5 linked regions of the Rattus norvegicus genome follow. The main gene of each other region encodes a partner of the protein of the gene in region 4 in a complex. Links are inferred from orthologs where the notes say so. Each region holds a gene or a part of one and is shown on either strand. Other genes may lie near its edges. The genes, in order: Ncaph2, Ncapd2, Ncaph, Smc4 and Ncapg.

Region 1 (3,990 bases), on a different chromosome or scaffold from region 4:
CTAGCCTGAGCTATATATGAGGTCCTGTTTCAATTTTCAAATAACAACAGAAAGACTTCCACATCTCCTTACGTTTTGCTGTCTTGTCCATTGATGCTGTATGTGTTCTTTTTGTTTTCCGTATAGTTATTATCAGTGTTCTAACATGCCTTATGGTATTACTTTCTTTTATTTATTAATTGTTATCAAGTATTTATTATGTGACAAGAACCACTTTAAATTAAAAATCAAAAACAGATGGCAAGCAAAGCAAAGAGTAATTCATCCTTCAATAAAGTTTCTGCTCTCTAGGGAGGATGGGTATCAGGGTAGGAACCACATTATTGGTTCCTTCCTATGGGTGTCTATTTGGCCTAAGCATTGTTTGTTTATGTTTCATATAAATCAATGTAGCCTTTACAACAAAGGCTGAAATCGCCACTAGAGAGATAAAATGATTTGTTGGAAGTCACAGCTGACAGTGGACAAAGCAGCTCTGTTCCCCATTATCTGTATTGTGTGTTTCACAAAGGAGTAGTAAACTGGAAAGAAGAGATTAGGATGTCAGGAAGACGTAGACTGAGGGACCTGATCGTATTTGAGGTAAAAGGAGTTTCCATGTCTGGTAAGCTAAAATTTGTATGTAGTGGGGACATGGGGCTTGCCTCGGTCAGTAGAAGGCATGAAGTACCGTTCACAGGGGAAGGCTAGTGGCTGGAGAAGACTGGTGAGTTAGAGGCCTCCCTTGGGGGGTTTGTGTAGAATTTCAGGTTCTCCCTCTGAGTGGCAGAAAGTCTGTAAGAGGTTAGGGAGAGGTTAGACTGGGCCAGATCAGCTGTCATTAGAGAGGAGCTTGAAGTAGTAAGGGGCGGAGACCCTTCAGTTTGGGGGGATAGGTGGGGATGCCAGGATGGACTTGTTCATTGGATCTCATTTATAAAAATCTGGAGAGTTGAATAAGACAGATGGACAACAGTTTGGGCAGCAGTAAGAGTGTCTGCAAGACTTCAGTTTAATCCCTAATACTGTGAAGAACAATTCTCTGGGGTGTTTTTATTTGTTTGTTTGTTTATTATTTATAGATCTTCAGTAGGTATCTAACTGGAACCCCAGAGCCTCGGAGAAAGCTGTTCTGAGGATATGTTGGCACTTTGTTGACATTTGTGACTGGTAGCTTGAACAGAGATGGGTAGGGGCACATGGTAGAAGGTAGAAGTGGGAAAAAGCTAAAACACATAGCTGAGGCTACCAGAGGCCAAGGAGGGCTGCAGAGGGGAACTACTTATGGCACCTGTTTCCTGAGTTTTCCAATTAAAGGATAGAGTGTACTGCATTTGTCTCTGTCTTTTCCTTCTCAGTGTAAAGGGTCTGTCTGCTGTAGTTTGTCCCAGTTGGCTTTTGACCTTGTGGGGGGCGCATGTACAATTTGGAGTGCTGGTGAGAGCTGGTATGTAGCTTTGGCCATCATGGTCAATGTCCTTTGGGGACCTCCCTCTTGTAAAACCTTTGGTCTGGAAGGATCTAGGAACTAGGGGGAATCACAAAGATCTAGCTTTTCTCTAGAATCACCCAGATACAACTGGCAAATTCAAGAGTAGACTTGGAGTACCTGTGTTTGTAGGTGATAGCTTGAGCTACCAGGAAGGAAGTGAACACAGGCTCCTCCTGCACTGCTATCTTATTTTCTCTGAGGCTGTCTCCCTATGTAACCCAGCAGACCTTGAATCCTGCCTCAGTCTCCCGGCTGCTGGGGTCATAGGCATACCACCCCCTTACCGAGCCCAGCTTACTAACGTTCTTTCTTGCAGCTGGACCAGATCTGCATTTCTTTTGATGAAGGTAAAACCACGATGAACTTCATTGAGGCAGCACTGTTGATCCAGGGTTCAGCCTGTGTCTACAGTAAAAAGGTGGGTTCCACACACTGCTGGTGTTTGTGCTTCGTGTTGAGCTCTCTCTGTAACCTGCCTACCCTTAGCTCACAACTGGAGTGTACCGTTGGCTTTTATTTTGAGACACATCCCATGCATCCCAGGCTGATCTCAAACACTACACATGTCTGAGGAAGATGGCCTTGAACTTCTGATTCCTTTGCCTCCACCTCCTGGAATGCTAGTGTGACAGTGTAAATCACCATGTCTAGTGTTTGTAGTCCTGTGGGCAGGGTCAAAGCTAGGGCTTCGTGCATGCTAGCCATGTGCTTCACCCCCTGAGCTCTATCTCCAGCCTGTTGGTTTTTGGAGTCAAGATTTTATTCGCTCTGACTGGCCTTGAGCTCGCTCTGTAGCTGAGGCTTGCCTTGAACTCTTTCCTTTTCATCTCAAGTGTTTGGATAACAGGCGTGTTCTACAATGCCCAGGTAACCGAGTTTAAAAACCAGTAGGCGGTTCTGTTGGAAGAAGTCTGCTGCATAAGCCTGAGGACCTGAGTGGATCTTCAACATCCACATAAAGAGCGGGGCATGATGGCAGGCATCTGTAACTCTAGCACGGTAGTGCGGAGACCCGAGAACCCTGAGCCCAGCCAGCCAGCCAGCCAGCCAGCCAGCAAGCCAGCCAGCTGATGAGTACTCTACTCAGGTTCAGTCAGGAAAACAAGGTGGAAGTAGTTAAGGAGGACACCTGAGGTTAGCTTCTAGCTTCCACAAACATCTGTACAATGTACATGCACCTCTGCGTGTTTGCACACATGCAAACACATACATACAACACATACTTACAAAATGGTGTGGCCAAGTTCATTTTGTATAGCACTTCTAGCATACACAGGGCCCTGATGGTGATTCCATAAAACCACAATAAGTAAAGTGGCCAGGAAGAGAGGGTCAGGGGTGCTGTGAGCGCTGCTGTCCCTCATGTGCATGATTTCAGGTACAGTGTGGATACTCTACCTTCCTCACTTCCACGTATACTTGCAGTTGTGCTGCATCATCATCTAGAACAACTCCAGTCTCATCCTGTGTGGGCCCTGTGGTTCTGTGGAGGAGACCAATAAGAAGCAAGTGAAAAGCTGGGGGCGGGGGGAAAGGGTGCACATCTTTAATCCTAGCACTTGCGAGGCAGAGGCAGGTGGATCTCTGTGAGTTTGAGGCCAGCCCTAGACTACAAAGTGAGTTTTAGGACAGCCAGGACTACACAGAGAAACCTCACAAAAACAAAAGTATTGAAAAAAGGTCTATTACATAGGCCATCATGGGTTATGTGGTGACAGGGCCATCAGACTCACAGCACCCTCCTGTGAATAGGGTAGTGTAGCTAGCAGGAGAAGCTGCAGCAAAAAACAGTGGGTACCATGTGTGAGGGTTCAGGCCTGTGGGGCATGTGCCAAGAGCTGCCTGAAACGTAGTGGGCACCCATCATGACATGGCCATGACCTGTGTCAAGGGGGCTGTGCTTGTGGATGTGTGGAATATGGGGCAGAGGCTGTCCAGGTAATTCTGATTTGATTTGATTTGACTGATTTGATTTGAGGTTATTGTTATTGTTGTATATGTGTGCTCTGTGCATGTATATGGTATGAAACCTGAGGTGGAAGTTGTGTCTTTACTTGATCTCTCCCCACTTCACTTTTTGAGACAGGGTCTGTTACTTAACCTGAATGCTGGTTCCTTGGGCTGCCTGGCTAGTGAATGTCAGGGTCCTTCTGTCTCTGCTTCCCCAGCCTTCTCCAAGATGGGGTTATAAGCAGGCACTGTCATGCTTGGCTTTTAACATGGATTCTGATGATGCAAACTCAGATTCCTCCTATTGCATGTCAGGTGCTTGTGTGTGTGGGTGTGTACACATGAGTGTCAGGTGCTTGTGTGTGTATGTGTGCACATGAGTGTCAGGTGCTTGTGTGTGTGTATGTGTGCACATGAGTGTCAGGTGCTTGTGTGTGTGTATGTGTGCACGTGAGTGTCAGGTGCTTGTGTGTGTGTGTATGTGTGCACGTGAGTGTCAGGTGCTTGTGTGTGTGGGTGTGTGCACATGAGTGCAGGCACTCTGAGAAGCCTGAGGCATCTGATTCCCG
Region 2 (3,990 bases), on a different chromosome or scaffold from region 4:
GCTTTTTAAGCATGAGACATCCCTTTTCTATAGGGTACTGCATGTAGGGGCTGGATGGAGTCATTAGGTAGGGTCCCGTACAAGGGTTTCAGGGACATGGGTCTAGTGCTAAATTGGTGACAGGCTGCTGTTCTTTTAGACAGGCCATTCTTCTCACTCGAGAAGCTACCAGTCGCTTCCAGGAGTCTGAACCCTTCAGTCACACAGAGCCAGAGGAGAAGGACTTCCTGAATCTCTTGGGTGTCATCTTCAAAGGTAATCCTTTCAGTCAGCAAGCCCAGCCTTGGACTGAAGGAGGCTGGGGGAGTTGACATTTGCTCTGGAAGGGGAGCAGCTCAGTCATAGGGCGCCTTTGCAAACTAGAGAGGTCTGCGGGAATTGAGAAATGAACCACAGTGTTTTAAAACACATTGTAATCTCATACCTTCACATCGTTGAAAGAAATCTCCGAAGGGTGTTGATAGCCACTAGACTCCCAGGTACACTTGAGCAAAACTTTCCCGTACTCTCCAATTCCTAGGCCCTGAAGCTTCCACACACGAATCTCCTAGGCACACAGATCCAGGGCTAACTGGCAGTAAAGACTCTCCTAGTGTGCCTGAGCCTGAGGGGTCCCAGAGGGACGATGAGCTGCTGAAGCAGGAGATGCTGGTGCAGTACCTGCAGGATGCCTACAGCTTCTCCCAGAAGATCACAGAAGCCATTGGCGTCATCAGCAAGATGATGTATGAGAACACAACTACAGGTAGGCCGGGTGCTCTTCAGAAACAGCCCTGCCCGCTCACCTTTGTTATTGGGATAAGACCTCACTCATTTTTTTTTTTTTTTTCTTTTTTTCGGAGCTGGGGACCGAACCCAGGGCCTTGGGATTGCTAGGCAAGCGCTCTACCACTGAGCTAAATCCCCAACCCGACCTCACTCATTTTTATGTGCGTGAATGTGTACTACATGCAGGGTTGGTGCCTGTGGTGAGCAGAAGAGGGGGTCAGAGATTCTTTGCAGCTGGAATTAGAAATTGTTGTGAGCCACCATGTGGGTACTAGGAATCAAACCTGGGTCTTCTGGAAGAACAGTTCTTAAACCCTGCTCCATCATCCAGTCCCTGATGCCTGCATCATTAAAAGGCAGAGGTTGTTTATCACTGTTGACATTTATAGTTTACTTTGTTTAACAGTGTCACGAGAAGGCGTTCTAGCAGTCATTCTCAGGGACAATGACAATGACCTCTACAGCCATGTTACTGTGTTACCAAGGGTTCTATCTATGAGTATTGTGACATTTGCCAAGTAGATGGGTGATATTTGTGTCTGTTCTCAGTGGTGCAGGAGGTGATTGAGTTCTTTGTGATGGTATTCCAATTTGGGGTACCCCAGGCCCTGTTTGGGGTACGCCGCATGCTGCCTCTCATCTGGTCTAAGGAGCTTGGTGTCCGGGAAGCTGTCCTTAATGCATACCGCCAACTGTACCTCAGCCCGAAAGGGGACTCAGCCAGGTATCTGGGGTTCCTTGTCTTCGTTAACTTTTCTGAGGTCAGCTTCTCACGGGATTTCCTAGTCTTCTGAATGAGGAAGATATTCTAGGGTTGTTCTGAACTCATGGATGGGTCTATACCAGGCTCAGGGTGGACTTCTGCTGGGGTCTGCTCCGAGCACTTATTTAATCTAACAGCCTGTTTGCCAAGTTCTGATTCCCAGTCGTAGTGACCACTGATCTCTGCTGTTCCTGCAGAGCCACAGCGCAGGCCTTGATTCAGAACCTCTCGTTGCTGTTAGTAGATGCCTCCGTCGGGACCATTCAGTGTCTTGAAGAAATTGTAAGTCCCCTTGTTCCTTCTCTCATCCCACACTTACAATTAGTGGCTGTTCCTGTGCGCAGAGATCTGCTCAGCCCCACAAAGAAGTTTAATTAATTGCTTTCCCATTCCCAACTTTATTTTTATTTCCTAGTTTGTTTCCTGTTGGTTTGAGGCAGTTGTCTGACTGTGTAGCCCAGGCTTGCCTCAAACTCATAGTCCTCAGTGTTCAGACTCAGGTGTGTTTGGTTATAGTAAAAAAAAAAACAAAAAACCACAAAACATATTTAGTAAAATGTAGCACAAGTATCCACCTCCAGAATTGGTGACAGAGGTGAGCAGGATAACAGTGATGCTTAATGTGTGCCTAGCACTGTCCTTAACACCACTGGGCAACAACTCAGGAACAGTTCTTTGTGTAGCTAGGGTGGGAATCTGTGAGGGAGGCTCAGGGAGAGGGAGGGTGACTGGCTGCAGCTAGATTTGCCGCACATACACTATATAAGCTAGTGCTAGAAAAGATGTTCAGCCTCTGCTCAAGGGTAGAGGTCAGGGGCTTACCTCAACATGATGGTACAAGTCAGCATGGTATGGAAGGTCGGTCAGAGAGACAGAGACAGAATTCTGATAGGAAGTAAGGCAGTGTTCTCTGTGTTCTGACTCAAGGTCATTATTAGACAATGATCCAGTTGAGAGCATGGGCTGCAACTCAATTGTGGAGGCCACTGAATGCCTTCAAGTTAGGGGGTCCCCGGGGTTTGAATGAAGTGGCAGTGACGGCCAGACCTGACTACTGATTGCTACTTTTGTTCCTTTCTGGGGAAAGAGGACCTGGCGGTGGCAAGCGGCTTGGTATTTCCCAGGCTGGCTGCTGCTCAGGACTCCCACAGTAGTCAGGGAAGGGCTGGAGACATGTGCTGAGATGACCCGCCTGTCACACACAAGCCTGCTGGGCATACAGTGGTGAGAGGGCAGACAGGGCCTGCAGAAGCAGCTGTGGGTAGGCGACATGTGACTGACAGGCCGTCAGCATTGCTGGGAAAATGAAAAGGCAAAAGGGACAGTGGCCCTGTCACAGATACATGGACTTGTGCTCACAGTAAGAAATATTCAGCATGCAGTCAGAACTGTGCACCTCATAGAACTCAGAATGTGTGATCTTAGGAAGTGCAGCTTTGAAGAAAGCCATGAAGCAGGAAATAGAGAATGGAGCAAGAAATACTCCTCGCACTCTGTTTACATTTGAGCCTCTTCCTCTTCTACCCCCAAGTGCTAGTTCCATCCAGGTTCTCAGAGTTGTCCTGAGACAGGTAGACCAGGGGACTTTTATTCTGAAGCAGACTTACTGTTCTTCTCTCCTCAGCTTTGTGAGTTTGTGCAGAAGGATGAGATAAAGCCAGCAGTGATCCAGCTGCTGTGGGAACGGGCAACGGAGAAGGTCCCGTGCTCTCCTCTGGAGCGCTGTTCCTCTGTCATGCTTCTTGGCATGATGGCACGGTGAGGCTTGGATCCAGAAAGCAAGCAGAGTGGGGAAGGCAAGGAAAGTCTGAAAGGTCCCTTTTCCTCAGTAATGCAGTCAGCCTAGTTGAGCTGTCATGGGGTCGGCTTCCTGGGTGAAGAGGGTACCTGCCCGCCTGTCTTCTATAGTTAAAGCTCGAGGGATCCAGGAACCTGGCTCTGGGTCAGATCTTTCTGGAGTGCTTCAGAGCTGTAGACATCCCACAGCGGGTACTGATGCCTTCCTGCATTGGTGTTGTCTGCCACAGAACCCTGCCCAGGGCTGCCTTTAACTCTGCTTTCCTTTCCCTAGAGGAAAACCAGAAATTGTAGGAAGCAACTTAGACACCCTGGTGAAGGTAGGGCTGGATGAGAAGTTTCCACAGGACTACAGGCTGGCCCAGCAGGTGTGCCTCGCCATTGCCAACATCTCGGACAGGAGGAAGGTAGGTGATGTGGGGTGGCTGTGACTCAGCTGAGGGGAGTGGAGAGCTTCCTGTTGGCCTTTCTCACTCTGGCATTCTGTTCTCTTCTTCTCAGCCTTCCCTGGGTGAACGTCACCCTCCCTTCCGGCTGCCTCAGGAGCACAAGTTGTTTGAACGACTTCAGGAGATGGTCACAAAGGGTAAGCTATCCAGAGGGCCTAAAGTAGGTCTGTTTGGTTCCTTTCTCCAGAGAGATCAACTTCTCCTTTCTCTCTA
Region 3 (4,581 bases), on a different chromosome or scaffold from region 4:
TCTAAGTTACTGTAGGTCCCTTTGGAAGTTCCCAGAACAATGGAATCTTTGAAGGGGTTTTAGAGTTCTGGCTGTGGTAAGCAGACAAGTGGGAGTGAGGTCAGATTTACACTTGGCAAATGCCACTCTGGGCTCACTGGGAAGGGGATCATAGTCTAGCAGGTAATGTGGATGAAAAAGGTGAGGGACCAACAGAGATTTTTTTTTTCCCCAGAGGCAAAAAGCTCAGTAAGGGATAAGTCCAGTCCTTGGTGGCTGACAGGAGCATTCAGGAAGGTGAGGAACACCAATCTTTTCTCCCATAATCTACTGCTGTGGGGTGTCCGCCAGAGAGGGCTGCTTGGAGGTGGGTCTTTGTTAGCTGACTGATGCCCTATACTGTGTGTTCAGGATCCAGTGTAGCCCTGAGCCTTTCTCATGGTGAACTTTTAAGAACAAAACCATGTTCTGGGTTGACACACTTCAGTTAACGAGAACTGTTAGCGAGAAGTGGAACTACAGAGGCTAAAAAGCAAGGTTAGAACATTTAGAGACTTTGATAGATTCTGTCTTTGTTTCCCTTTGGCAGGTGCTCCTACCTCCACGATGAGTTTAACAGTCCAAATTGTCATGGAGTCAGTGCTGCTAAGGTCTGGGGCCGGTACACCAGGCTGCCTCATTCCAAAGTAGTTTTGCAAATCCATGCAAAAACTAAATAGCTTTCAAGAGAAGCTTTTGGGAGTTAGAGAAGTAGCTTGTTGGTCCAGAGTACTTGTTGCTCTTGCAGGAGACCTGGGTTTCATTCCCAGCACCCACATGGTGGCTCACAAACATCTGTCACTCCAATCCCAGGGGATCTGACAGCCTTTTCCGGTCTTCTTGGGTACCAGCCATGCATGTAGTAAATGCACACATACTCAGGTAAAACACTCATTCACATCAAATGAAATTTTTTTTAAAATTAGCTTTCAACAAAGGGCAGAGCTTTGGTTTCCCAAATGAGGGGCACCGATGACAGTAAGCAGGCAGGCAAATGGTGTAAAGGATGTTAAACAGCTACACCCCAGGCCTCCGTTTAAAAAAGGGTGGTAGGCAGCTGGCCTCCAAAAAGCCTTTTACAAGAATCTGGACAAAAGCTTCGTTTTCAAATGTATGTACATGCATGTGTGTAGATGTATGCTTTGGTGCAGATACACATGCTCACACAATGCTCTGATATGTGTGTGTATGGACGTGTACACATACATGCAGACAGAAAGCTCTCTGGAAGTGTATACACGTATATGAACTGTACTGGGCGCCCACACGTGTCAACACAAGGCTCTGGGGTGTGTGTACACACATGCACACACAATGCTCTTGGGATGTATACATACACAATACTCTGGGTGGAGTGTACACATGCATACACAATGCTTTACGTTCCTTCTTGCTTGCCTGGAACTTCAAGAAGGATACCGTTTTCTACCCACAAAGAACATGTCTTTTAAGACAATGAACCTCCATCCCTCAGAAACCTGCCTCCCCATTACAATCCAGATTCTAGGAAAGTACAGCCTTTGCCCGCCCAGATCTACACATCCTACTCGGCGCCCAGCGCTCGGCCGCCAGCGTTTCCAAACGTCATCAGCTAGGTCACCGCTGCAGCTAAGCTCACTTGCTTAGACTTCAATGAAGGACTTCCCGCCGGCACAGTTTTTAATCAGCCGCCTGGGCGGTCTGCGCAGGCGCACCAAAGGCCACTCCCCCAGGGGCGTCACGCGGCAGTTACCGCGCTTGGCGCTCACGATTTAAAACTTAACTACGGAGACGTGGAGAGCAAGATGAAAATCCCACGCTCAGGTGAGCTCGAGTGGGTCGAGGCGCGGCTGTCAGGATCAGGACCGAAGGGTGCTCGCGTGGGCAGGTCCAGAAGGGACGAATGTGTTCGGCGGGGTTCAGCCGGGGGCTGTGGAGGGGGAAGGGAAGACAAGCCGAGGGAAAGCGGGGCGCTGGGCCAATCAGGGTGCAGCTGCCAGTGGCGGCCAGGCTCTAATGCTCCCCGCGCCCCGGTTCCAACGGAGGAAAAGGTTGGGGGAGTGGTTCTGGACTGGACGTTGTGTGGGGAGCTGTGGAAGCATAGGGTCGACCGTTCTGTGTTGAGCACTCGTGCCTGTCTTTTGGAACTGATTCAAAAGTCTTGAGGGCTCCCTTTGGGACAGACCTTGGTCAGATGCAGAAATTCGCAACCGAAGAAGCCTGGGCACTTGAGTTGGAGACTGGAGGATCAGAAATTCAAGGTTATCCTCAGCTATAGTGACTTTGAGCTAGCTCGGAGCATCGTGTCCAAGGGACGAGCCAGGAAGGAATCTGAACTGGTCTAGGAATTACTACACTGTATGTTCTCAACCTTTGGGTGACAGTCCCCATGGGGAGGTGTCAAATGACCTTTCTACAGGGTTCACCTAAGATCATCAGAAAACAGATGTTTACATTAAGATTCATAACAGTAGGGGCTGGGGATTTAGCTCAGTGGTAGAGCGCTTACCTAGGAAGCGCAAGACCCTGGGTTCGGTCTCCAGCTCCGAAAAAAAGAACCAAAAAAAAAAAAAAAAGATTCATAACAGTAGCAAATTTACAGTTATGAAGTAGCAATGAAAATAATTTTATGGTGGGGGGGGTCAGCACAATATGAGGAACTGTGTCAAAGGGTCACAGCATTAGGAAGGTTGAGAACCACTGAGCTAGACCATTATAACTAAACTTAGTGAGACTGACAACAGGCAGGACCTGGTAGGCCTAAGTTAGAGTTTTCTAATAATAGTTTCATTTTGAATTTGTTGCTTGTGACTTCCTGGAGAGGTGAGGTGCACAGGTGAGAGGGTTTCTACTGGATGAGTTTGACAGAGGTCCATAGGCTGAGAGGTAGATTTGTTTTTCTCTATCTCGGGGATCGTAAAGCCATGGGTCCAGGTGGGAACACCAGACAGACATTGTATTGAGTACATTCAGGACCAGCAACAGGTGGCCGGGTGGGAGGAGGGCACTGGAAAAAACCCAAGTTACAGGTATCACAGGAGCCAAGAGCAGCTCAAGAAGAAGAGACAAGTCCTGAAGTGCCCACTTCAGGCTGAGAACTGAAGCAGAGCAGAGGGGCTGAGTGAGTGGGAGGAAAAATCAGGCACAGGAAGTGCTCTTGACTTCAGTAACAATCCATTGAGTTAGATGTATACCGCCCCCTGCAGAGAACAATGGGTGGTGGATTTAAAGAGCTATCCCTCAGTGCTTCCAGTTTCTCAATTCCTTTCCTTATCCACATTTACAAATGTCTTGATTTTTGCCCACAAAACATCACATCTGCTCTCTTGACGTTTTTGTTTTGTCTTGGTGTTGGATGAGAGTTGTGTAAACTATACCCTTGTAAAGTTTTTGGACTGCCTTTTCCTTCTGCTGTCTGTGGACAAGCATTTGTTTGTTGGGTCTCTTTGTTTACTTTTGTGGTATAAGTCTTGTGCCATGGCGTGTGCATGCCAGGCAAGAATTCTATATGGCTCTATATTCCCAGTCTCCTTTTATTTTTTTCTGTGTGCCTATAAAATCTTATTGTGCACATTGAAATCGCATTGTATCGCCTGTTGGGAAACAGCAAAGTCAGCTCACTCTCTGGGCGTTCTCTCCTTCCCTCCTCCCATTTTTCTCCCTCTCTCCTTTTCTCCCTTTTTCCTTCCCTCCCTCCCTCTCCCTTTCTCTCAGCACGTGCCCACCCAAGGAGAAGAGCTAGGCAAGGACTCTTCCACCAGCCATAGCCAGAGCCAGGTGACGTTCCTCCATTTGGGGCGGTGTTGAAGCAGATACAGCATAGAGACAGATAGCTTGTTTGCTTACCTAAAGTCTTCTTAATATGCGGTGAAGCCACGTTTAAAACAATGCTCTTTGTTTGTTAAATCGGGGGTAGGGATTAGGATGAGTTAGGGTTCCTTTAACTCCTCCCAGGAATCTTGTGTCTTACTCTAAAACAGTAGGTCAACCAGGCCTCAGTCACACCTTGAACATGTCATAACCTGGCATAACCTGTCATCCGTGTGTTTGCATCCCCCCTGTGTGTCCAGCTCATTGTCTCTTATTCACATCCTGAGGTCAGCTTTTGTTTCTGCCGACATATTCTACGACTGTTTGTCACCTATGGCCACCTTGTGTCCCCTTCCTTCCTTATTTATGTTACCTTCCTGGTCAGTCAGTATGCTCACGTGTCTCCCTGTGTCCTCTTCCTTCCTTTTTTTTTTTTTTTTTTTTTTTTTTTTAGATTTATTTTATTTATTATATAAGTACACTGTAGCTGTCTTCAGATACACCAGAAGAGGGCATCAGATCTCTTTACAGATGGTTGTGAGCCACCATGTGGTTGCTGGGAATTGAACTCATGACCTCTGGAAGAGCAGTCGGGTGCTCTTAACTGCTGAGCCATCTCTCCAGCCCGTCCTCTTCCTTTCTTACAGGTTCTTGGCAAGACCCACAACCCCGGTTAATTTAAACACCCCCATTCTGCACACTTGACAGTGGCCAGAGAGAAATACTTAGGGCTGCTGGGTGGTTGGTTTGGGGCCTTCAAAGCTGCTGTCAACT
Region 4 (3,990 bases):
CTGCATCTTGGATGCTGTACTATGATACTGTCTTTGATTTTCTAGCCTCCCTAACCATGGGTAATTTTTAAGACAAATGTCAGTGAGGAGAGAATGAAATAAAAGCTACAATATCACTTACCTTCATATGCTTTAAATCTTACTAGTTGAAGAATCAAAGATTGTGATAAGGAGCTAAGGAACACTCACAGAAACTACTTCCACTTTCTCTCAGACTTAACAGAATTCTGAATTCTATCTAGTTGCTAAAGTTCTTATCTAAGTTCAACCAAATCAAACTAAATCTGTTAATTAGAATGTTTAACTTAGTATTCTTTGGAAAGAATATAAAAGTTTAATTGTGAGAGCAGACAAGGGTTCAGTTAGGAGGACCAACTCATCTTAAGTACTCCAGGAGCAGGTTTTAATATAAACTCAACTTATTTATTTCTTTGGGAAGTTACTTTATCAGCTTCCTGTATTAGCAAATTATGTAGACGTTGTATAAAAACTTTACAAGACCTAAAACATAGTCTATTTTGTATTGGCATAAAACTGATCTCAGAATAAAATTAAGCAAACAGCAAATAATAAAAAGATTAGTATAATTCCCTGCAAAATTGTTACCACCACTAAATTTAAGATTATAAAGGAATACAGGTTTTTATCCAGTTAATTAAACCAAATTTCTGAAAATAGAAATCTAAAAAATACTACAATGGTATAAGGCTACATCTATATAAATCCAAATCTTATTTAGCATGCATGTCTGCAACTGATTTTTTTCAATACTTAAGTAACACTGGCCCACTAAAGTACTGTAAATACACTATTATGACAGTTAAGGGGTATTCTAGAAAATTATCATTTGTTTTTTATACTGGGTATGATTCAAATAATAATAATCTCAAGAATATAGAGTAAAATTTGTGAAAATTATGTTAGTGGGAACATTTATAAACATAACATTTTATATTAAATTGAAACTCCCAACTTATTTTAAAATCAGTAGTAAAAGATACACTGTATCGGCAGCTGTCTCTGCATAACAGGCAATTTCATTTTTAAATTTTATTCATGCTCCTAGTAGCTTGGCATAGTACAAAAAAAAAAAAGATAATTTCAAATCAGAACAGAAATTTCATAATACCTAACTGTATTAAAAAAAAAAAGTAGGGAAGACAAAATTTTCCTTCCAAATTATACTAGCAGGATATACTTTTACTTCTATACTCACACCAAAATTGGAAAAATAAATAAAAAGGAAGAAACAATAAAATAAAAGAAATAATAATAATGAAAATACCAGGAACCTAATTTTTTTTATACTTCTAAAAAGGACTTCCCTAAGAATTGATACTAATAGTATTGGTTTAAGAAATTAGGCCATTGTGTACAAATTAAACCCACGCAAAGTAAACCTTTATTGAAATATAAAAATATTATATTAGGTACCCAGGAAAATTTGCTGTAATATCAAATATATGGTTTTTATGTTAGAAAAGTGACAATAAACAAAAGGGACTATGAAACACTTTTATCTTAAAGGGAGTTGCTATATCCCTGTCACACTAAAGCAGCACAATAATATTGGTGTTTAATATTTATTTCACTACGCCAATATTTACGTGCTGCTAGAGCGGAACAAGTATGTCAATGTCCAAACATAATAATACAAGTGTGATGATAACAATATAGTCTTGAATGAATTTCCTTAAATTTCTAGAGCAGCAAATAATGATTCGCATCTTGACTGTAGTATGTAAACCATGATGTGCTGCTACAGTACTTTAAGGTTCCAAAAGACAGGATTCACCAAACAGAACAACGCCCTTTGAAGCTTTATTACAAACCAAAACCCAAAAACTTTGGAAGAATTTTTAAACGTACCTGCAAGATTAAAAATCGATTATGGTCTAAGTCAATCCCATGGCTTCTAAGAAGATTTCCAACATCTTTAAATGTCCTCTTCTTCCCACTTATATGATAGACAGAAGTGTTATCTCTGTAGGCTGTTCTAGATACATAGAAGTTGCTGTTAGGAAGGACGTCATAATCATCCCCTTCCTGTTTTTAGGAAAAACAGAACCAGAAAACTGTTGGTATGTTTGATCCAGATTTTATTTACTTTATACTGAAACTAATGGAACGGATTAAATATTTTATTTTTTTCTTGTATTCTTTAGCAGAGTCATAAATGTATATAACTAACTTTAGTACTTTTCACCTATTACTAGTTTTATCTCCCCTGAATTAAGTATGACCATAAGCTGACAACCATTTTAAAATGAAGTAAAAATAAACTGGTTTACAAAGGACTAGATACTTCTCCAAGTTGTTTGGTTTCTTTCTCAAAAACCTCTAAAAGTTTAAACCAAGCAAACAAAAATGAAATTTTTGAAGAAGCCAAAAAATATATCTGAATAAGAGCCAAGGAAGGTGAACAAGAACTCCAGCATATGTACAACAACCCACTCCATTCGAATAACCTTGATGACTGGTTAAAAAGAGATGACTTAAGGAAAGTACTAAGGGGAAATACTTTACTGGTCAAGGTGTGTCAGGGAGTATGGCTGTCAGTTTATTGTGTGTAGTGTCTGTGTGGGTGTGTGGTGTCTGTGTGTGTCTGTGTCTGGGATTCCCTTTGCACTTTCCTGAACAACATCTCCTATCATTAATTGAAAGACAAATCATAAAAATTCAATTATATAGCCAATAAAGCAAATAATCAATTTATTTTAGCATTAAAGTTCATTTATTCTTAAAGGCTCTGTGTCATATTCAATTTTAGATGGATCAAAGACTAGGTATTGGAATATCTGATTTACTGGCAATTTATTCTCTAACTCAAATACAACAGAATGAATTCAGAACAAAATTACGATAGATGTTTCTGTATATTTAAAACACACCCCCAGCATCCAATCATCTGTTACTTTATTATATGCATTAATTTTTTTTAAGGTTCTTTTCAGTTGCTTTTTGAATCATAGATTTTTTTAAGCTAATTAAACAGAGGCCTGTCCCCTACCATTTTAAAAAAATGCTACAAATACATCATGGTAGCTCAAACCTTAGAAAATTCCATATTTTACACACACAGCTAATTACTATATTTTAGACTCAATTATTACATTTTAAAAATTAAAATGTTTATCCTAAAGAGAAAAAATGTATGACTTAAAATGAAGCCCATATGTATCCTGAATAGAATGAATGCTTAGTTAGCACTCAGGGTCCCCTAAGTCAGTGTCTTCCTCCAAAAAGTTGAAGCAAATATGGTCACAGAAGCAAAAAACATTTCTTTTGCTTTAATTATACACAAACATAAAATAAACAATTCAGGTCTACAATAATAAAATGTGATGTGTTTTTCTTGCTTGAAGTTGCAAGTAGCAAATAATCTTACCTTATCAATTATCTTTTGAAAATGAACTTCTACAGTACAACTCTGAATATCCGTGTGCTCATCAGAATTATGTATCAGTACTGACAGCTTTTTAGACCTTATTTTTTGTGCTCGATAGCCAAACACAAAAAGCATGGAATCAATAACATTGGATTTTCCACTGCCATTTGGTCCAATAATACAGGAAAAACGCTGCATAAAAGTAAATTTAAAAAAAAATTTAAATTTAAAGTCACACTTATACTAATTTTAAACTACTCCATAACTTAATTTACAGTAAAAATTAAAGGTGTTTAAAGGTTTTCATTATTAAAAGATAAATACTTTTTCATTCTTTCTCTTTAGAATTAAAAGCAGTTTATTAAGAAAAGGAAAGCACTCCAAGAATGGGAGTGGCCAGTGAACTGAAGGAAAAGAATGCCCTCCAAAATCCCAATTTGAGTTTTCTTACATCATGTTCTTCTCTAGCACATGCTTTACTATCTTAAATAAAACCATATTCAAATTCTAATCCCGACATCTTACAAACCTCTTTAGCACAGTCAACGGAAAAAAATTACCTTCTAACAAAATCAGGTCTTATTCAATATGCAAACATTAGT
Region 5 (3,990 bases), on a different chromosome or scaffold from region 4:
AGTTTTACTTCTGTGAACAGACACCATGACCAAGGCAAGTCTTTATAATTGGGGCTGGCTCACAGGGTCAGAGGTTCAGTCCATTATCATCAAGGCAGGAACATGACAGCATCCAGGCAGGCATGGTGCAGGAGGAGCTGAGTTCTACATCTTCATCTGAAGGCTGCTAGCAGAATACTGACCTGCAGGCATTTATGGTGAGGGTCTTAAAACCCACGCCCACAATGACACACCCACTCCAACAAGGCCACATCTACTCCAACAGGGCCATACCTTCTAATAATGGCACTGCTTGGGCCAATATACAAACTGTCATAGGAGGGAAGGAGGGTTTATTTGAGTTCATAAAGTTTTAGAGGTTTCTGCGAGAGTTGAGAGGTTGTTGCAGAACAGAGAGGCTCCCATCCTGACAGACAGGGGCCAGAATGCCTATGCTGTTTGGTGGTGGTGGTGGTGGTGGTGGTGGTGGTGGTGGTGGTGGTGTCTGGTGGTGGTTGGGGTGTGTGTGTGTGTGTGTGTGTGTGTGTGTGTGTGTGTGCGCGCGCGTGTGCGTGCGTGCGTGCAGGCGTGTGTTTCTTTACTGCCGTGTACTTTTAGGCCTTGTATACTAGCCTGTGAGGTAGTGCCACTTGCATTCAGGGTGGATCTTTCCTTCCTTTAATTGTCTTTGGAGATACCCTCATACACATCCAGTGATGTGCTCGATTAATGTTTACTAGCTGCTTCTCCACCCAGTAGAGTTGGCCGTCAAGATTAAGCATCTACACCTAGTACTATAGAACACATAGTGTAACCTAGTAAGTTAAAGGGCGTTTTTCCCTTGTGGTAGTCTAGTTAGGTGATTATCTCTTCAAGCACTTTACAAATGTGAATTCATTTTTCTTACAGTCCTCAAGTCCCAATGGTTTCAAACCTAATAGTTACTATAAAATGATACTTTAATGCACTTTGTGTTGTTTCTCCGTAATGAGTGGGTAAGGAAATGTAGATGTTGTGATGGTAAGTATGATGGCACAGAGTTTAAAATAAGATGCTTGCTGTGCTTTAAACCTTCCAGTTTACATGGGAAGAGAATTGGAGAGGTAATAGGCAAATCAGAGGAAATGTTATGGGCCAGATAAATGTAAGGCCTTGCATTGTCCATATTAAAGAATCGACCTTATTCAGAGATGATGGTGGATACAAGGATATTTTTAAGAATAGGATGAGTACTCTGTAATACAGGGTTAGTATTATTTGAAAGTAGATTAGAATGATAAACGCCGAGATGCTCATACTTCTTGGCAGAGTTTCAGAAGTATGGCTTGAGATGATAGCATTGTGAACCAGATGATGCTGAGTACAAATAGATGTGACCTACGTCAGAGTTATTTAAGGTCTAGTAACAGGAAGAAAAAGAATCAATCAAGAGTTTCTTAGGTCTCCTTTTGCTTTGGACAAATGAAAATAGATGGTCATGATATGATGATAGAGTGTACGAGTTAGACATTTAGTAATGGGTTAGTTCCATTTTGGATGTGCTGAGATTGAGGAGCCTGTGAAACATGAAAGAAGTGTGTTCTAGAAGATTCTAGATTCTAGATTCTACTCACCCCAGATAGTGTTCTATGACAGACTGACGACGTACTGTACACCAATGTCCAACTTCCTTAACTAATGTGTTTTCTTTGGGTTACTTACAGAAATATGAGGGGTTACTTATAGGAGCAGAAATGAGTGACTCGGGGTTGGGGATTTAGCTCAGTGGTAGAGCACTTGCCTAGCAAGCACGAGGCCCTGGGTTCGGTCCCCAGCTCCGAAAAAAAGAATAAAAAAAAAAAAAATGAGTGACTCAAAGGACAGCTGTATTACTAAAGGTCACCTCAGTGAGGGTGACAGCTCATAAAGCTGAGAACCTGGAGTATAACATTATACAGTCTGCTGGTAGCAGGTTGGAGAGTGTTCGTTCTAGGTGCCTCAGTTGGTCTAAACCTCTAACAGGCAGTTCAAATGGTTTCTGCTTCTTACAGGCAGTCGTTGAGTCTTTGCAGGTGACTTGTCTGAAAATCTTTTCAGCTCTTACTACTTACTCTGGCAGGGGAGGGGCCTAGTGAATCTGGTCAATTTCAGAAACTTCCCGAATCTGTTTTGAGGTGATTAACAATCCTGATTAAAGTGTCCTTTTAGACTGGAATGTTTCAATCTAGGAGGAAACTGTTACACAAAATTGGGCCAGCTCATAAATGAAAGATAAAGTTGCATGGTGAGATAAGACTGCCAAAGGAACAGAGTAACAGTATGCACAGAAAAGGTTTCAAGAGAGCAGTTGTTTAAGGGATGGTAAGTGATGTTCTTACTAATGATGGTTATTTTGTCTTTCATTTTAGAACGATGTGGAAACATTACAGAAGTGTTTTATTTTGTGTTATGAACTGTTGAAACGAATGTCCATTTCAACTGGAATTGGTGCAACCATGAATGGGATCATTGAATCTTTGGTACACTGCTGGCCTTTGAGACCTTTTATGCTCTTCTACTTTATTATATAATAATTTATAATAATTAATTAATAATTTAAAAATTAATAATTAAAAGACAACCACATCAGATAAATATAATGAACTATGTATATCCATAGTGACTACTTCATAATATGAAGAATAATTTAAATAATACATTTTTATAAAGTCACTTTTAAATAAAACAAGTTATTCATAGGATATGTTTATTGAATACATGTTATCTAAGAAATGCTTGAAATATAGTGTACATAAAATACAAAACTACAGATAGCCATCCTGGGTCTTCTGCTTAAGTGAAGGCAGCATTGTTAAAAAATAAATACTATATATTTTGTTGTAGATTCTTCCTGGAATAATAAGTGTTCATCCTATAGTAAGAAACTTGGCTGTTTTGTGCTTGGGATGCTGTGGACTACAGGATCAGAATTTTGCAAGTAAACACTTTATATTGTTCTTACAGGTAGGATTTATTTTATGACTGTGTGTCTGTTTCTTGAAATGCTCTTATCTCTGGTGATATGTTAAAATTCTGGGTGTGTTCAGATGTTTAATTGATGGATTGTGGATAATCTTTAGGGTTTTAATTTTTATCTTGATAGTTTATAAAAATGTCTTCATAGAACAAGATGGGGTAACAGTTTAAGTTGAGTCATGTAGGTTATATGAGTGCATACTATGTGCTGTCACTGTTCTTGGCTTACGATAAATATAGTAGGTAAATGATGAGGAGAACCAACCTGAGTTTGTGCTGTTGGAGCTTGTTTTTCTGAAGGGGAAACAGACTATGTGTTGTGCCAGCTAAGCATAACCAGAACATAGCAGCAGCAGTTGTGGGAGTGAGGTGAGGCAGAGAGCCTGTGCCTGGGATGCTGGCCTGAGTCTTACTTTGACATTCAGACACATAGAGGAAAGTTAAAAGACTAATCCTTATAAATACTTGAAAGAATGCTGTCTTTCTTTCTCTCTTTCTTTCTCTCTCTCTTTCTTTCTTTCTTTCTTTCTTTCTTTCCTTTCTTTCTTTCTTCCTTTCTCCCTTCCTTCCTTTCTTTCTTTCTTTCTAAGATTTTTTTTCTTAGATATGTTGCATGTGTATATATGCTATGCTGTGTAGGTTACTCATGGAGGCCCAAAGAGGGCACTGATCCACTCCTGTTGGGGTTACAGGTCAGCTGCCTGACATAGGTGCTCATATGAACTGAACTTGTGTCCTTTGCAAGATCATAACTACTCTTAACTGCTGAGTCGTCTCTCCAGCTCAGACATTTTATTTCCTTAGGAGAGAGAATAGAGGAGAGAGGTCTTAGGGGTAGGACTTTACTTGGCCTATTTGAGGAACAAAAGAACATATGGCTAGGAAAGTAAGCAAAGTGAAGTCTAACAGGAGAAAGAACATGATGTCCGTGTGCTCCAAGAACTTACACTCTAAAAATACAGAGATCCATTATGAATGATTCAGGGAAGAAACTATGGTGCTTTTGTTTTTACTCTT

What was found.
Region 1: the proteins of Smc4 (region 4) and Ncaph2 are in contact, whole or in part, in a cryo-EM structure (PDB 9F5W), measured with the Homo sapiens proteins. The link is inferred for Rattus norvegicus from reciprocal best matches to the Homo sapiens genes SMC4 and NCAPH2. Residues at the interface, in NP_001002800.1 of Homo sapiens: Ile100, Leu101, Gly102, Pro103, Ile112, Gly113, Pro114, Ser117, Gln1151, Met1152, Leu1155, Phe1227, Lys1228, Ser1231, Ile1232, Phe1235, Tyr1236, Glu1239, Gln1240, Asn1253, Asn1254, Phe1256, Glu1257, Arg1261, Gly1264, Ile1265, Tyr1266, Lys1267, Thr1268, Tyr1269; in NP_689512.2 of Homo sapiens: Arg494, Ile495, Trp498, Glu499, Thr501, Val502, Leu505, Leu506, Gln509, Glu510, His512, Phe547, Cys550, Arg551, Met553, Leu554, Leu557, Gln558, Ala560, Asn561, Tyr563, Val565, Glu566, Ile567, Gln569, Leu573, Glu574, Ala576, Val577, Asp578.
Region 2: Smc4 (region 4) and Ncapd2 share a complex: the UniProt entries of both Homo sapiens proteins name them as parts of the condensin complex. The link is inferred for Rattus norvegicus from reciprocal best matches to the Homo sapiens genes SMC4 and NCAPD2.
Region 3: Smc4 (region 4) and Ncaph share a complex: the UniProt entries of both Homo sapiens proteins name them as parts of the condensin complex. The link is inferred for Rattus norvegicus from reciprocal best matches to the Homo sapiens genes SMC4 and NCAPH.
Region 5: Smc4 (region 4) and Ncapg share a complex: the UniProt entries of both Homo sapiens proteins name them as parts of the condensin complex. The link is inferred for Rattus norvegicus from reciprocal best matches to the Homo sapiens genes SMC4 and NCAPG.

What each region holds. Positions count from the first base shown.
Region 1 is NC_086025.1:122,305,332-122,309,321, forward strand, and holds part of Ncaph2 (condensin-2 complex subunit H2), read left to right. Parts: intron 1-1,337; exon of another isoform or gene 1,338-1,426; intron 1,427-1,787; coding exon 1,788-1,889; intron 1,890-3,990. UniProt on the Homo sapiens protein: Regulatory subunit of the condensin-2 complex, a complex that seems to provide chromosomes with an additional level of organization and rigidity and in establishing mitotic chromosome architecture.
Region 2 is NC_086022.1:159,660,876-159,664,865, reverse strand, and holds part of Ncapd2 (condensin complex subunit 1), read left to right. Parts: intron 1-139; coding exon 140-255; intron 256-520; coding exon 521-745; intron 746-1,317; coding exon 1,318-1,492; intron 1,493-1,728; coding exon 1,729-1,813; intron 1,814-3,155; coding exon 3,156-3,289; intron 3,290-3,602; coding exon 3,603-3,735; intron 3,736-3,829; coding exon 3,830-3,914; intron 3,915-3,990. UniProt on the Homo sapiens protein: Regulatory subunit of the condensin complex, a complex required for conversion of interphase chromatin into mitotic-like condense chromosomes.
Region 3 is NC_086021.1:134,849,653-134,854,233, reverse strand, and holds the start of Ncaph (condensin complex subunit 2), read left to right. Parts: upstream 1-1,731; 5' UTR 1,732-1,802; coding exon 1,803-1,821; intron 1,822-1,974; exon of another isoform or gene 1,975-2,191; coding exon of another isoform or gene 2,192-2,258; exon of another isoform or gene 2,259-2,355; intron 2,356-4,581. UniProt on the Homo sapiens protein: Regulatory subunit of the condensin complex, a complex required for conversion of interphase chromatin into mitotic-like condense chromosomes.
Region 4 is NC_086020.1:155,552,969-155,556,958, reverse strand, and holds part of Smc4 (structural maintenance of chromosomes protein 4), read right to left. Parts: intron 3,581-3,990; coding exon 3,389-3,580; intron 2,047-3,388; coding exon 1,870-2,046; intron 1,782-1,869; exon of another isoform or gene 1,684-1,781; intron 1,633-1,683; exon of another isoform or gene 1,538-1,632; intron 1-1,537. UniProt on the Homo sapiens protein: Central component of the condensin complex, a complex required for conversion of interphase chromatin into mitotic-like condense chromosomes.
Region 5 is NC_086032.1:69,628,070-69,632,059, reverse strand, and holds part of Ncapg (condensin complex subunit 3), read left to right. Parts: intron 1-2,366; coding exon 2,367-2,477; intron 2,478-2,841; coding exon 2,842-2,961; intron 2,962-3,990. UniProt on the Homo sapiens protein: Regulatory subunit of the condensin complex, a complex required for conversion of interphase chromatin into mitotic-like condense chromosomes.